Linked DNA regions of Tamandua tetradactyla. The protein of the gene in region 1 purifies or fractionates together with the protein of each later gene. This does not show direct contact. Links are inferred from orthologs where the notes say so. Each region holds a gene or a part of one and is shown on either strand. Other genes may lie near its edges.

What was found. The genes of interacting proteins can lie anywhere in the genome.
Region 2: the proteins of WWP1 (region 1) and PTPN21 purify together in Homo sapiens (affinity purification with mass spectrometry; 3 studies listed by BioGRID). This does not show direct contact. The link is inferred for Tamandua tetradactyla from reciprocal best matches to the Homo sapiens genes WWP1 and PTPN21.

What each region holds. Positions count from the first base shown.
Region 1 is NC_135332.1:129,826,973-129,833,868, reverse strand, and holds the start of WWP1 (NEDD4-like E3 ubiquitin-protein ligase WWP1), read right to left. Parts: upstream 3,009-6,896; 5' UTR 2,822-3,008; intron 1-2,821. UniProt on the Homo sapiens protein: E3 ubiquitin-protein ligase which accepts ubiquitin from an E2 ubiquitin-conjugating enzyme in the form of a thioester and then directly transfers the ubiquitin to targeted substrates.
Region 2 is NC_135338.1:48,817,530-48,824,515, forward strand, and holds the start of PTPN21 (tyrosine-protein phosphatase non-receptor type 21), read right to left. Parts: upstream 3,007-6,986; 5' UTR 2,670-3,006; intron 2,664-2,669; exon of another isoform or gene 2,523-2,663; intron 1-2,522.

The sequences.
Region 1 (6,896 bases):
ACAAAGATTCCATTGAAAACCTAAACAGAAGAATCACAAAATGTTAAGATGTGGAAGGAACCTTCTGGACTCATATCATCCTCCCTGATGAAGTCACTTAGAGGCACTAACTATACCCAACTGATGGTAAATCATATTATCTTCATACAAGAAAGAAAACCATCACTGTCAGTTAACTAACTCCTGATTCCACTTTACCCACTTGTTTACTAAGGGCAAATCATTTAACCTCTTGGGTTAGTCTGTTTCATAATATAATAGGAAAGAATATGTTAGTCAAAATTCCTATAAACTATGAAGTACAACACAAGCATAAGATATTACATCTCTAGGTACCCTCTACAGCAGGGGTTCTTCATCAGTGTGGATAGAGGAACCTAAAAGTTCTATTGTTTTATAAAGCTCCCAGATCATTCTGAGATCTGCCTCCCCACCCAACCCACTGGTCCACAGGTTCCACGGTTGAGCTTCAGGTGGTGTATGGATTTCCCTATAATTCAATCCACAAAGCACAGGTGCATATGGGAATTTTTCAAGCCAACTGATTTCTTTAGTTTCACAAAGGGTTAGTTGTCTCAGATGGTTAGTTGTCTCAAAATTACAACTACAGCTGTAAAATAACATACATGCACTGGGATTAAAGCTTCCAAAGATTTTGCTCAAAATGTTACCACCATTCTCCCAACCAATCTGGATCAGAATCTTGGATATTTTATATTTTCTTCATTCTTTCTTTCATCATCAAATCTGGTCTATTCTACTCCCTTTCTCCTTTCCATTCCCATTATCACCACCTCAGTTCTGATACTTACGTCACTATCTATAGCCCAGACAGAGAGCAATGGGGAGGCCTCCCCACACGCGACTACTGGATTAATCCTAAAATACAGCTTTAGTCGTTGCATCCCCAACTCAAAAATCTTCTCTGGAACCTCACTGCCTACTAAATCCAAGGTGATAAACCTGGCATTACAAGCAATCCATAAACTGGGCCAAATTTTTACTTCAAGTTTTATCATCCTTTATTCCTGTACAAATACTTTATGTTCCATCAAACATAATTACTGGTCTCTCTGTGAATGTATGAACTCTGCTCTTAGACCCTTTACTCTGCGTGTATTACCTTTCACTGTCTATCAAAGTCACAGTAATCCTTCAAAACCAAGACTTCAGAAGCCAGAAGCATCCTAACTCCCTAGCCTTACCTTGCTGAATGAAATAAGCTCGACCTCCTTTGACTTTGAAGTCCTTAGGGGACTTCTGTATCATTTATGAAGCGAAGCTATATAATAAAAGACAAATGAGGCATTTGTGTAGTACTATCTACCTACCTAGTCTGTGGAAGGTTTGAAGGCAGAGACTGTTATCCTCATCTTTGTATTCCCTAAATACCTCACACAGTCTTGCAGTAAACACTTAATAATTGTGTAAGGAAGTAAAAAAATTCAGCCAGCACGGGGTAAACAGCTAAGATTAGGATCTCTTCCAAGGCAGACATCCTCTATCATGCCAAGCTTCAAAAAAAATGTAACTGTAAATCACTGCTTTTCAAAACCGTGGTGTCACAGCACTTATAAGCAGTTTTGCACTGTAAAGGAAGATTTATTTGAAAATGTTAATAAACAACATCCCAAAGAAATGAACTATTCCACATGCTTTATGTGTCTCAATTTGAGTAGCACCCAACACTTGGTCAACTCAAGTATTTAATTTAAAAACGATTAACTATTGATTTACTACTGAATGGCCAAAACAAGTCACATTAAAAGAATACCTTCTTTTTTTTAAAAGGTGCAATACACTGCATCTTGCTTGTTTAATACAGAGACTTAATAAGACAAGAAAGTCGATTTATACATAAGTATAAACTCTCACAGAAACCTGCAGACAATTATAAACCAGATACTTCAGGTAAAAAAGACCAAAGGGAAAAAAAATGGGACATTATTTTTCCATAACTATAACCGTAGCACCTTAAAGCAGAAAGTCATATCTTTTTGCACATGAGCCTACACAAAAAGACGAAACATCAAATAAAAACTGTAAAGCCAAATCAGGCCACTGGATGAAGAAGTAAAAATGTCAAAATAACAACTACTTCAGTAACGAAGGTCTCACATAATCATCGGAGCAAAAGAAGCTCAACTCCATATCGATGGAGTAAAGAAAGGGTTGTGCGTAAGATAGTTTAAAGGTTGTAAAAGCAACGGGCAAACTACAAAATAAAAAAAAGAAAGAAGTCCTAAGTCATAGATGGGATAAGGACTGGTTAAAAACTGCAAGGTCACAGGGACCTACCAGGTCACAAAGGTGGAAGAGGGAGCTGTTTTAAAGGGAACTGCAGTCAGTGAAAAACAGGGGGTGATAAAAACATGTCAGAAGAAGACGTTCTAAGGCTGGGAGTCCTTCGTTTGAGACGGTGGAATTGCGGTGAAACCAGGGGTACCGGCAGTTAAGCCAAAATATTTGTGTTTGGTGAGGAGGTGTTAGGGAAATGAAAAGAGATAGAACGGAGGCGAAAAGAAGACTAAGGAAGCTTGAGAACTGCGGCTGCAGAGTCACGGAAACACTTCTGCCGGCTCCAGTAACAGCAGCAGAGGCCTCCGCCAGAGCCAACTCGGGGCAAGACCCGTGACCCCACCCCCCAAAACTCGGAGCCCCAGGGCTGGGAGGCAGCCAGGAAGGCGCGGGCCGTCACTGACCGTCACCGACAGCCCCTCGGAGGGTCCTGCCGGGGTGCGCACGGCGCGGGTTTCCCCGGCCCGCCGCGGAGGCTCAGGGCCCGCACCCGCCCCTCACCACCGCCCCGCACCGTCCTTACCCGCGCGAAGCCGTCTGCTCCCGGCGGCCGGACGGCCACGGCAGCGGCGCCTCCTCCTGCGGGGTCACTCTCACCCTTCCGCGCCCAGGATCGCCATCTCACAGCAGGCTCGTCGGCCCCGGCAGCCCAGGCCGCCCGCAGCCACTCGGAACCCGCACACCGCCCTCGCCGACTCCCGACCCTCCCCCCACCCCCACCCCGGCCACGCGCCACCTCCAGCCCAACCCACACCTCCTTCCGCGGGAGCGCGCCGCGGCCCGAGTGCGCGTCTCCCCACCCGCCGGCCCGCCCCGACACCGCGCGCTGCGCCGCGGCCGCCCAGAGACTCCAAGTCTGGACCCGGAATCCGGCTTTCCTCGAGCATGCGCAGCCAGGGCGCCCCACTGATGCCTTTAGAAAACTCCGCTACTCCGGGTCTTCGGAGTGGTCGAGTGGAGATGGAGGAGTGGCCAATGGGAGAAGGGGGTGGGGCCTGAACCTGTGGAAGGGGCGGGGCCGCTGCCGAGATTTGGGAAGAGGTTTCCAGCTGGCGGCGGGTGTTGCTGACTTGACTTTCCGGTCCGCGGCTGAGCCGGGGGCGTGACCTCAAGGAAGGTCCTCCGGGCAGTGGCATTCTTTCCCCAAAGCTATGTAGCAAAAGTAGGTGCTCCTAAATATTCCTTGACTTCACCGAGTGTTTGACACAGAACATTGCAAGAGTAAATAAAACCAGAAGTCTTCTAGACCATTTTTATTAGTAATTCAAATGTTCATTTCCCCCCCACCCCACCCGGGCCCGGCCCACATTACCCCAGTGATGAAGCTAATACTTAATTGGCAAGTACATGTGTCTGTGCAATTAATAGACCATAAAGTAGGGTAGATTATCTCCATGAAACAATTGAGTCAATTGGTTTAGAGAAGTGGAAAGACTCCCTTCCCCCAGTCTCCCACAGACGGAAAACAGTGTTAGGTCCGGGAAACGGGGAAGGGCACTGCAACTGTAGCTGCTGAGGCTGTGTCGCCCCTCCCAACATGGCTTCTGGAACCGCCCCTTCAGGACACCTGACTTCCGGAGAACCGCCCCTTCCGGATGTCACCTGACCCCCTTGCTTAAAACTGCCCACGCCATCACCCAGGCGCTGACTCACCTCTTTTCCTCTTGGGTCCGCTGGGATCTGCCCTGGAGCACGGAAATAACCCCGCCCCCCCCCCTTTAAATTTCCTTGTCTGTGTTCCTTCTTTCTCACCGTTTCGCCACCTAAACCTTTCAACCACTAGTGACCATGTTACTCACCAGATGACCTCATCTTCTGCTTTGTAGAGATAATAAGGGCCATTTTTCCCCAACTGCCTCACCTAACCCCACAAATTACCTACATCCATACCCGCGCATACTTTTTGCCCTTTGTCTCAGAAGCTAGGTGTCTCCGCTTCTCTCCAAAGTGAACCTCTTCGCCTGTGTGCTTCTTCCTGTGATCCCTCTTTGACCTCACCCTGTCTACTACCTGTAACTCCTTAATATAATCACATTTTAAGATTCCTGTCATAAACAAGTTCTCCGTTGACTAAACCCACCTTCCAGTTCTCTCCTCTCATAACTAAGCCTTTTGAGAGAATTGTCTCAAGAAGAGCTCTGACACTCCTTGTATATTTGAAGGAATACACATTATTTTCCTCTCCTTTTTATTAGTTCCTGCCTTTTGACTTCTCACCTAGATTCGGCACACAGATATTCAGAAAGATCTTCCTAAAATATATCTCTAAGCATGTTACTCCACAGATTACAAACTTTCATTGGCTCTTCAGGGCTGTCCAGGCACAGTTTAATTTGATACTTGAAGCTTCTTTTATGCTCTGTCCCTTCTGTTAGAACAAACTTCTCAGAGTTCTATGAATGTAGTCGTTCATTTCTGTGCCTTAATGCAGGCTGCTTCCTCGAACCTTTTCCTCACCATAGAAATTCCATACAAATACTCAGCAGGGGGTTGTGCTCCATCTCTCGAATTTATGCAAGCCTCCTTCCACTTACCTGTTCTACCATATTGTTACTTTCACCACTCTGACTGTGATTTTCTCTTTAGCTTAGTTCCGTAGAAGCTCTTAGTACTTACCTAGGCCCCTCAGTTGATACCCAGTATTGAAGCAGTTCTTTTTTTTTTTTATTTTTATTTTTAAAAAATTTTTTATTGAGAAATAGCCACACATGTACAGTTCAACCATATTATACAATCAGTGACTCACATATCATCACATAGTTGTGTATTCTTCACCGTGATCATTTTTAGAACATTTGTATCTCTCCAGAAAAGTAAATAAAATAAAAGAAAAAACCTCATACAACCCATACCCCTTACCCCGTCCTCTGATTGACACACAGTATTTCAGTCTACCCAAATTTTAACCCTTTATCTCTCCCTATTATTTTTTTATCCTTTCTTTTTTTTTACTCATGGGCATGGGATAAAAGGAGTATTAGACACAAAGTTTTTACAATCACAGTCACACTGTAAAAGCTACATAGTTATACAAAATTCTTCAAGAATCAAGGCTACTGAAACAGTTTGACAGTTTTAGGTACTTTCCTCTAGCCACTCCTGCACTCCATAAACTAAAAAGGGATATCTATATAATGCACAAGAATAACCTCCCAGGCTAACCTCCTGACTCTGTTTGAAATCTCTCAGCCAGAGACTTTATTTTGTCTAATTTCTTTCTTCTCCCTTTAGGTCAAGAAGGTAGTAGTTTTTTTTTATTGAGTATTTGTTTGGTTTCAAATGAATACCATTATAAATAGATTTTCATAAACTTTTTTCACATCCTTACTTACTATCTCAGTTTAAATTCCTAAAAGTGATCCAAGAGTATGAGCAGTTTTTACCCTTTTGAAACATACTGGCCTTCAAGAAAAAGCTTAGTTTAGGAGTCTCATTGGCTGGAATAAAATCTCAACACTGCCACCCGGAGCCATATTCTAATTTTCATAAGCCCTAGGCATTTTTGCTCTTTTTGGGGCCTCTTTCTCCATAAAACAATGTTAAAATTGTATTTTACAATTTCTTTGGTATAAAGATGAATATATGGATATTGTATATTAAAATATTTTTTCTGGCCTAAACACTCATTTTTTCTTCTGATTTGAAAAGAAATTAAAATATTTCCATGGGCCACTAAAAGTATTATGCCTTTGGAGAAGTCAACCTTGTTGTTACCTACAAGCTATGAGATTTGCAAAACTGCTTAATCTGTGCTGCAACTGGAAAATTGTGCTATCATGTGAGGTTGTAGTAAGAAGTTGCTACAACTTCTTTCTACATGTAAAAACATGAGACTGTAAGTATACCACATAATCCATAAATAGCTGTTTTGGCTTGCTAATGCTGCTGGAAATGCAATATACCAGAAATGGGTTGGCTTTTATAAAGAGAATTTATTAAGTTACAAGTTTATAGTTCTAAGGCCATAAAAATGTCCAGACTAAGACATCCAAAGAAAGATACCTTGACTCAAGAAAGGGCCGATGATTGGGTTTTTCTGTCAACTGGGAAGGCACATGGCAAGGTCTGCTAGCTTTCTCTCCCTGAATCTCATTTCAAAAGGCTTCACCAGGGCATTTTCTTTCTCCATCTCCAAAAGTCTTTTGTGTGTGTGTGTGTGTGTGTGTGTGTGTCAGCCCTCAAGCTTTTTCCAAAGTGATTCCCTCTTAAAGGAGTGCAGTGAGTGGCTCACCTAGATGGGTGGAGACAGATCTCCATGGAAACCACCTAATCAAAAGGTCCCACCCACAATTGGGTAGGTCACATCTCCATGAAAATAACTTAATCAAAAAATCCCACCCAACAATTCTGAATCAGGATTAGAGAGCATGGCTTTTCTGGGGTATACAACAGTTTCAAACAGGCATGATTACTGATGTTATAATTGTTATTTTGAATTTTCCCACAGCACTGTATGAGAGTATATGATTGTGCTTAATTACTGCACCCAAGTAATCGTGGTATATTTGCAATAAACAAATAAGTTATCTTATTGCTAGCCCATTGTCCATTTTCCTACCAGGATATTCACAAAAAGGAATTTTATATACTGTTAATAT
Region 2 (6,986 bases), on another chromosome or scaffold:
CAGGATCGGCCAGGCGATCCCCAACCCTCTCATCTGACAGACACGGAACCCAAGCCTCAAAAGGAGAGCGGTTTTCTCAGCTTCACACAGGGACAAGCTAAGCTGGCAGTCGACCCCAGGTCCCTCACCCCTAGTGCTTTTACTATTTCTCGCTTTCCCGACTGCGTCTTAGCCTCAGAAGTGATGCCACTCAAGACTGGAGGATGGCAATACTAGAGAAATAGGATTTAAGCTATTACACTAGGTTTTGGCGAACTTAACAAACTGAAAATTCCAGTCCACAAATGAGTACTGCCTGCCTGAATACAAGGCAGTTCAGAAGACATTGTGAGAAATCAAAGACGAATTCCAAACAGTCTCTCTCCTTAAGGAGATTACGAGGATGCTATAATTACACTCAGAGTTCTCTAATCAGGAACCGACCACGGTTTTCTCCCTGTCTGCTGTTTTTGTTGTTGTCGTTGTGCTTTTCTAGCGCTAGTTATCCTCGGATAGCCAGAAAAATAAAAGTTAAACAGTATAGAGGAAGGCCAGAGGAAACAAAAATGGAACCACTTAAAACAGTGTTAACTAAGAGCATTTACTAAGAGCATTTTCTAACTGCCTTCTGTAGCTTACTAAAAGTACTATACTATTGAAGGAAACAAAGTAATTCTATAAAGATAGTTTCCACCTGCAGTTTTTCAAAACTCTTTGCTGTTTGTTTTAGAGGTATAAACTAGAAATAATTAGAGCAAAATGAGAAATAAAAATCAGGAAAAGACAGCCGTTGATAGCTTTTAATTGGAAAATTACCTAAGTCAGCAGTGTTTGTGTAAATTTAAAAGATTAGGTATGTTTAACATACTACGTATACTAAATACCCTTTCAGAAGATGAAGTAGTGGATTTCAATTTTATATACAAATCATGGTAACTGGAAACAGGACAGACTAAGTCGTATAGATGAACAAGATATTGCATATAGCAGAGGAAAGAGAAATATTTGTACTACGAGTTCAGATTTGGTAGTCTTTTCACTACAAAGATAGAACTAAGCCTTGAAGGCAGTAGACACTACACTACATAACTTAATAAACTTAAGCTCTGATTAAGCAAACTTTCATTTGTCCCTGAGATTTGAAATGTTTTTCAGCATCAGGGATAATGAGAAGTCAAAGTTTTTGCTATTGAGTTTTTTTTATTTTGGAAGATGTTATAACGTAACTTAAAAAGTTGATGTATGTGTTTATAGGGAGCATTTTTTTTCACAAGATACATCCATGAGTATGGCTTGCTTTTTACATATTTATATGAAACCCATTGTGTTGAAATAGTGTTATACTGAATGAAATTTTTGAAAAATTATCACTGATTTATTGATCTTAATTTTCAATCATGGACAATATTTGCTTTCAAGTGATATCATAAGACTATGAATGTTTGAAAGTAGTATCAAAATCAAGAATAGCAGAAGTTTAAGGTGATCAGGCTTTTTGTCCGTGTTAGGTGTAAAATAATATGCAATAATTAGAAAAGCAGTTGGGTATAAAGTTATAATTTATCTAACTACTAAAGTAAACAGATAATTCCTAAATAATAGGTTTTTGAAGAAAAGTCTAGGAGATACTTTGTTTCTTTACAAAACTTTTCAGTTATGTACTAAAGACAGCAGAAACACATTAAATTCTGCTTCAGTAAAAGCTTTCAAAAGGCAGTCTGAGCTATTTGTAAGTCCTTATAATTTATGCACTTCACAACCCCTTCCAAAAGTTTCTCAAATACACGTTAACCTGGAATCTTGTAGCATTTTCCCCCTTGCTTCTATTGCCCTCACCATATGTCAGTTTGCCAAAGTTGCTCCAAAATAAAATAATCACTACAGGAAGAAAGTATATGATACTTTCAGGCTATCTGAATCTATACATTAGGGTATACGGGTGGTTCAGTGGTAGAAAGCTCTCCTGCCATGCCGAAGATCCCATTCCCGGCGCATGCACCCTCCCCCCCAAAATAAAATAAAAATAAATCTATATATTAAATGAAACATGTTTCTCATGGACAAATAAGATATCTGGGTAAAGACAGTGGAGAATGAAATACCTTAGAAACAAAACGTAAATATTTCCAGAGTAAAATTACTACCATATCCTAATACTGTCACATGGAGCACACGAGTGTTTTGAATGTGTTTGCGACCATACGCTATTATCATAAGGCTTTCTCAGCAAAAAGGAAAATAGTACGAGCTTGCCAAGAGCAGTCAATCTAATCGGGATTTGCAGAAATCACAAGTCGGAATTTGCAGACCCAAGAATTCTTTTTTCTAAATTAAACACTCATTACTCCCAAAACAAAACAAGACGTCACCAAAACAGTCCTTCCCTCCGCCCCCTCTCGCCAAAGTTATGTGGTCAATTTCACACTTTCAGATCCCGAGAAGCACAAATTATGTCTGACTTTTACATATCTGATCCAGAATTAAGCCGCCAACAATTAGCTGAGGCGGTCAAAATAAAATTACTCAAATATATCAAAGAGAACCTGGAAAAGGAAGACTTTTCTCTTTGTTACGTGTCTGCCATCTGTCGGATCCACGAGACCCATCCTCCAGGACTTCAGGGCTGACCAGTGCGCTCGGGGGTCCCTGCGTACGGACACAGCCCGCCCGCCGGGGCCCCGCGCCCTCACCTGCTCCCGCTCCCGCATCCTCGGGGCCGCGCGCGGGTTCAGCGGCCCGCCTCCCCGGGCCCAGTCGCGCGGCCGCTGCAGCCTCGTCCGCACGCCAGCCCGCGCCGTGGCGCGCTCATGGGGCTCGCATTCCTCACTTCCTGTCTCCAAAAAGTCGGCCCGTAGACCATTCCCCTGGACAGTTAGCCCGCGGCGACGGCGAGAGGCTAGGCTGGGAGGTGGGGCCAGCGGCTGGGGGGCGCGGTGCAAAGAAACCGGGCGGGGGCGCGGGCGGCAGGAAAACGGACTGACAGACGGACACTGGACACGCGGCCGGGACAGCGGAGCGGGCCGGGGCCAGGCGTTCCTCCCCCTGGGCCCGGCGGGTGGACGGATCCGGGGCGGCGGCGGCGGTGACCTCAGAGAATTGGAATGCGGGCGGCTGGGCGCGGGCGAGGCGCGGACAGCTGCGCCCGGCCGCCGGGGAGGGGGCGCGCCGCTTCTTTTTTTAATCATATGACCACTTATTTAAAGAGTTTCCAAATAAAGCGAGGCTTTTAATAAAGCGAGGGGAGGGGGGTATTATTTCGGTTCCAGGTAAAGGGGTTTTTATTCGGTGGTCTGTAAAATGCTTTTATTGCAAGAGTAATTCGTTTACTCTTGTACATTTCTGAAGAGAATACAAATGTATTTCTTCCTTTCATGTTTCCTTTTAAGGATATACTGTATAAAACTGGACACCGATCAATACTGGGTTGGGAAGGGAAAAAAAAAAGATATATTAGTATGCTTCAAATAACCTGTAGTGCCCCAAAAAAGAATTGTTTGAAGATTCCATTTAAGACGCACACACTATGAGCACTTTACGTATGTGCAATATAGAGTAAAGCTAATAGGGCTGGAGACTCCACTTCAAACTACCTGGGTTCAAATCCCAGCTCCAACGCTTATCACCTGGGTGACATTGTGCAAATTTTTTAACCTTTCTGTTCCTGTTTACTATCCTGTTAAACGGTGATAATAGTAATCACTACCCAAAAACTTCTGTAAAACATATGTGAAGTGTTTCATTCAATTCCGGTTCATTTTAGCGACGTTTATTACAGAGTATTAGTATATTTTTACTGTTTTGAAGCATTTAAACTGAGAAGTTAAACTGTGACCTTAACGCGGTTAAAATCACGTGATCTTCCTTGACAAGTGATTTAAGAGATTGAAGCAGAGAAGCTTTTAATGCATGCAAATTCTAATTTCAATGATTTGTTTAATGCAGTTACTTCTGGAAAATTTTTAATGTTTCATTTTATTTAAATCCCATTTTCTTCAACAAGTAACACACTTACTGAGTACTTACCATCCATAAAATACGTTCCCTGCCCACAAAGAACTTTTGGCCTAGTGGCTCCTAAACATAACCACACACCACAAGGCCTGAGCAGTAAACCCTTCTACAAAGGTGTGAGTGCTAGCATAGAAAAATGTAGGGCAGGATTCAGCTTGGGTTTTGTAGATAGAGGCAAACAAGATAACATGTTTCTAATGAAAAAAAAAAAGATTATTTTTGTCATGATGCGCCAACTGGACATTAGGAGGGTTTCAAATTGTGTGTGAGGAAAAAAAGAGAAATGAAAATGAGTCATTTTTCTCCCAAGCTACAAATATTGAAATTATGTGTGACCTTTCTCCCTTCTTATTTCCAGCTTGCCATCAAGACCTGATATTTCTTCCTTTGAAAAGTCTCATGAATTCTTTCTTTCCTTTGCATAACCTCTTGTACATTGTAATCCAAACCCTCATTTTACGTACAGATTACTGTAACAAGCTATCCCCTGGTCTTCTTGCACCTGGTTTCCTTTCTCTCCTCTTTCCATGCTAATATTAGGATTACCTCTCCATCAGGTCCTTTCTAAACTGGCCTTAGCCTCTCTGATCACTTTTAGTTCTCTCTTCTCCCCACCGTGCACTCTCTGCGCCCGTTAAGCATCTTCTGCACGCCTTCTACTTATCTCAGCCTCTTTCCAAAGCTCAGCTCAAGGCTCAATGCTTCCAAGACAACTTTCTAGCCACCCCATTCCACACTGATCTCCACACTTGGCAAGAATTTACAAAATTGTTTCACGAAGCTTCTTTTATATCTCTTAGAATTCCTAGGACAGTGCTGGGCAGAGAGCAGGCACTAAATAAAAACTTGTTAATTGAATCAGGAAGAAAATAAAAGAATTTTAAAAATAGAAAATGAGTGTAAAACCCAAGCCATGTTAAGACAACCAAGTTGAACTTCCTCCGTTACCAGCAACAGATGTCATTTGCTGGCCAAGTATTTAAGCTGTTTTCCCTCTACCATGTTAATCTGGCAGCAATGTCACTTGAACAACCCCATCAAAGTGTTAGACATGAAATTATTATTGGCTTATGTTTTGGATTTAAGGAATTTGGATAATTTCTATGGCTCAATCCCAAAAGATACAAAAGAGCATAAGTGAAAAGTTTCATTCTCTCCCTGCCTGCTTGACACTTAGCTCCCCTCCTAGGTGTAGCCAGTATTGACATATTCCTATATACCCTTCAAGAGATAGATATTCTGAACTTATATAAGCAATTGCATATATGTATATTTAACCTCCTCTTGTTACCCCGAAAGGGGCATATTATACATGGTTTTTCACGTGACTGTTGCCTATTAAAATAAACAAATAAATAAATTTAAAGAAAAAAAAGAAAGGCCTGCCCATAAAAACATGCTCAGTAATAGGGAAGAAAATTGTCTTTGGTAGTGCATTCACAGATATTTCTTTAGGAGATAAGATGTTAATCTGCCTTGATAGCTTGGTGAATACTTAATTAGGAATCTTAGCCACTACCTAGATGAAACCAGCTATATAAATTATCATCCTCTGCAAGAATTTAAGTTGTACAAATATCCCAACCCTCAGAGAAAAATGGTCCCTGGGGTGGGGATGGGGGTTAATAGGAGCCCAAACTAGGAAATTAGAATCACTTTTGACCTCTGAATCCTCACCACACACTGCCAACAGCACTCAACCCTGGATCAGGGGTCTTCTCTTCAGTTCCAAAAGAGAATTTAGGGGACAAATTCCCCTGGACATCAGGTAAATGGTGTTGGCAGTATATTTGTTCAAATGAATAAGAGAATGGGGAAAATATGTCAGCCTCAATAGCAAAAATGACTGCTCTGTACTTCCCAACACTTTGGGCTTTTTGATTCAAGAACAGATTTGCCATGTGATAGTCACTATTGAAAAAATGTGTACATTCACCCATCATTGACTGGAAGCCAGATGAAGCAAGAAAGAAAGTGAAAACGTATGCCTTGTCTTCAAAGACTCACCGTGTGAACAACAGGGGAATCTATGACTCTGGTAGGGCTGGAAGTATATTCTAAGTGGAATGCTGATGCAGGAGAGAGGGATTAGCTTCCCTGGCTAATCACTGCCATCACCTTCTGGCTGAGACCTCAAGGACAAGTGAAAGTTTGCTGAGCTTTCAAGGAAAAGAACATTCCCTCCCTCACCCCCTCCCCCTCTAACCCTGAGATCCCACTCCCCACAAAGGCTTGAAACAACATGAATCAACTGGAATGGGGGCTCCTGGCTCCATGGAGATGGGTTTGGTAATCAGACCTCTCTAACTTTTAAGCCAGTGCTCATTCCAATTATCTTCTTTCCTTTGGAAGACAGCCCAGAGCTGCCTTCAGTGAGGCTCACTGAAAGCTGGTCCTCATACTGCCTCCTAGAGCAACATGTGTCATCTCTTCTGGACCTGAGAGCCCTTCCATGCTGGATAAGCATTCCTGTGGTCCAACTTGGTCTTTTTCAAGCTAAATACTCCAATCCCCTTAATGGTTTCTCTCAGGGTATCGTCATGACCACCTTCCCGAAAGTGTACTGTGGTTTGTGACGCTGCCTCTTACAGGGAAGCCCCTCAAACAGTGATCGTCACTTCTTGTGTTGGCCACATTCTTTCATTCTCTAGAAAATATGAGAGTATTTTCTTTTGCTATTCTCTAGATATTAACCAAGACGTTTGAATTTATTAATAGCAAAATGACATTTTCATTCTAACTATAAAATGGTGGGTAAAGAAATAGAAATGTTTTGCCTTTCTTTTGCTATTGAATTGTGAGTGTCTTGACAGCAGGAACTTGATCTTACTCATCTTTATGCTCTGGCTTATAGCAACACATCTGGTTCAGTGTTATCATTTAATCTTTAATTAACAAACATTGTACTGTAATAAGCCAGACAGAAATGCTTCATAACTATTCATGTATTTATTCCTCATAGTAACCCTATGAAGGAGAAACTAGTATCATACCCA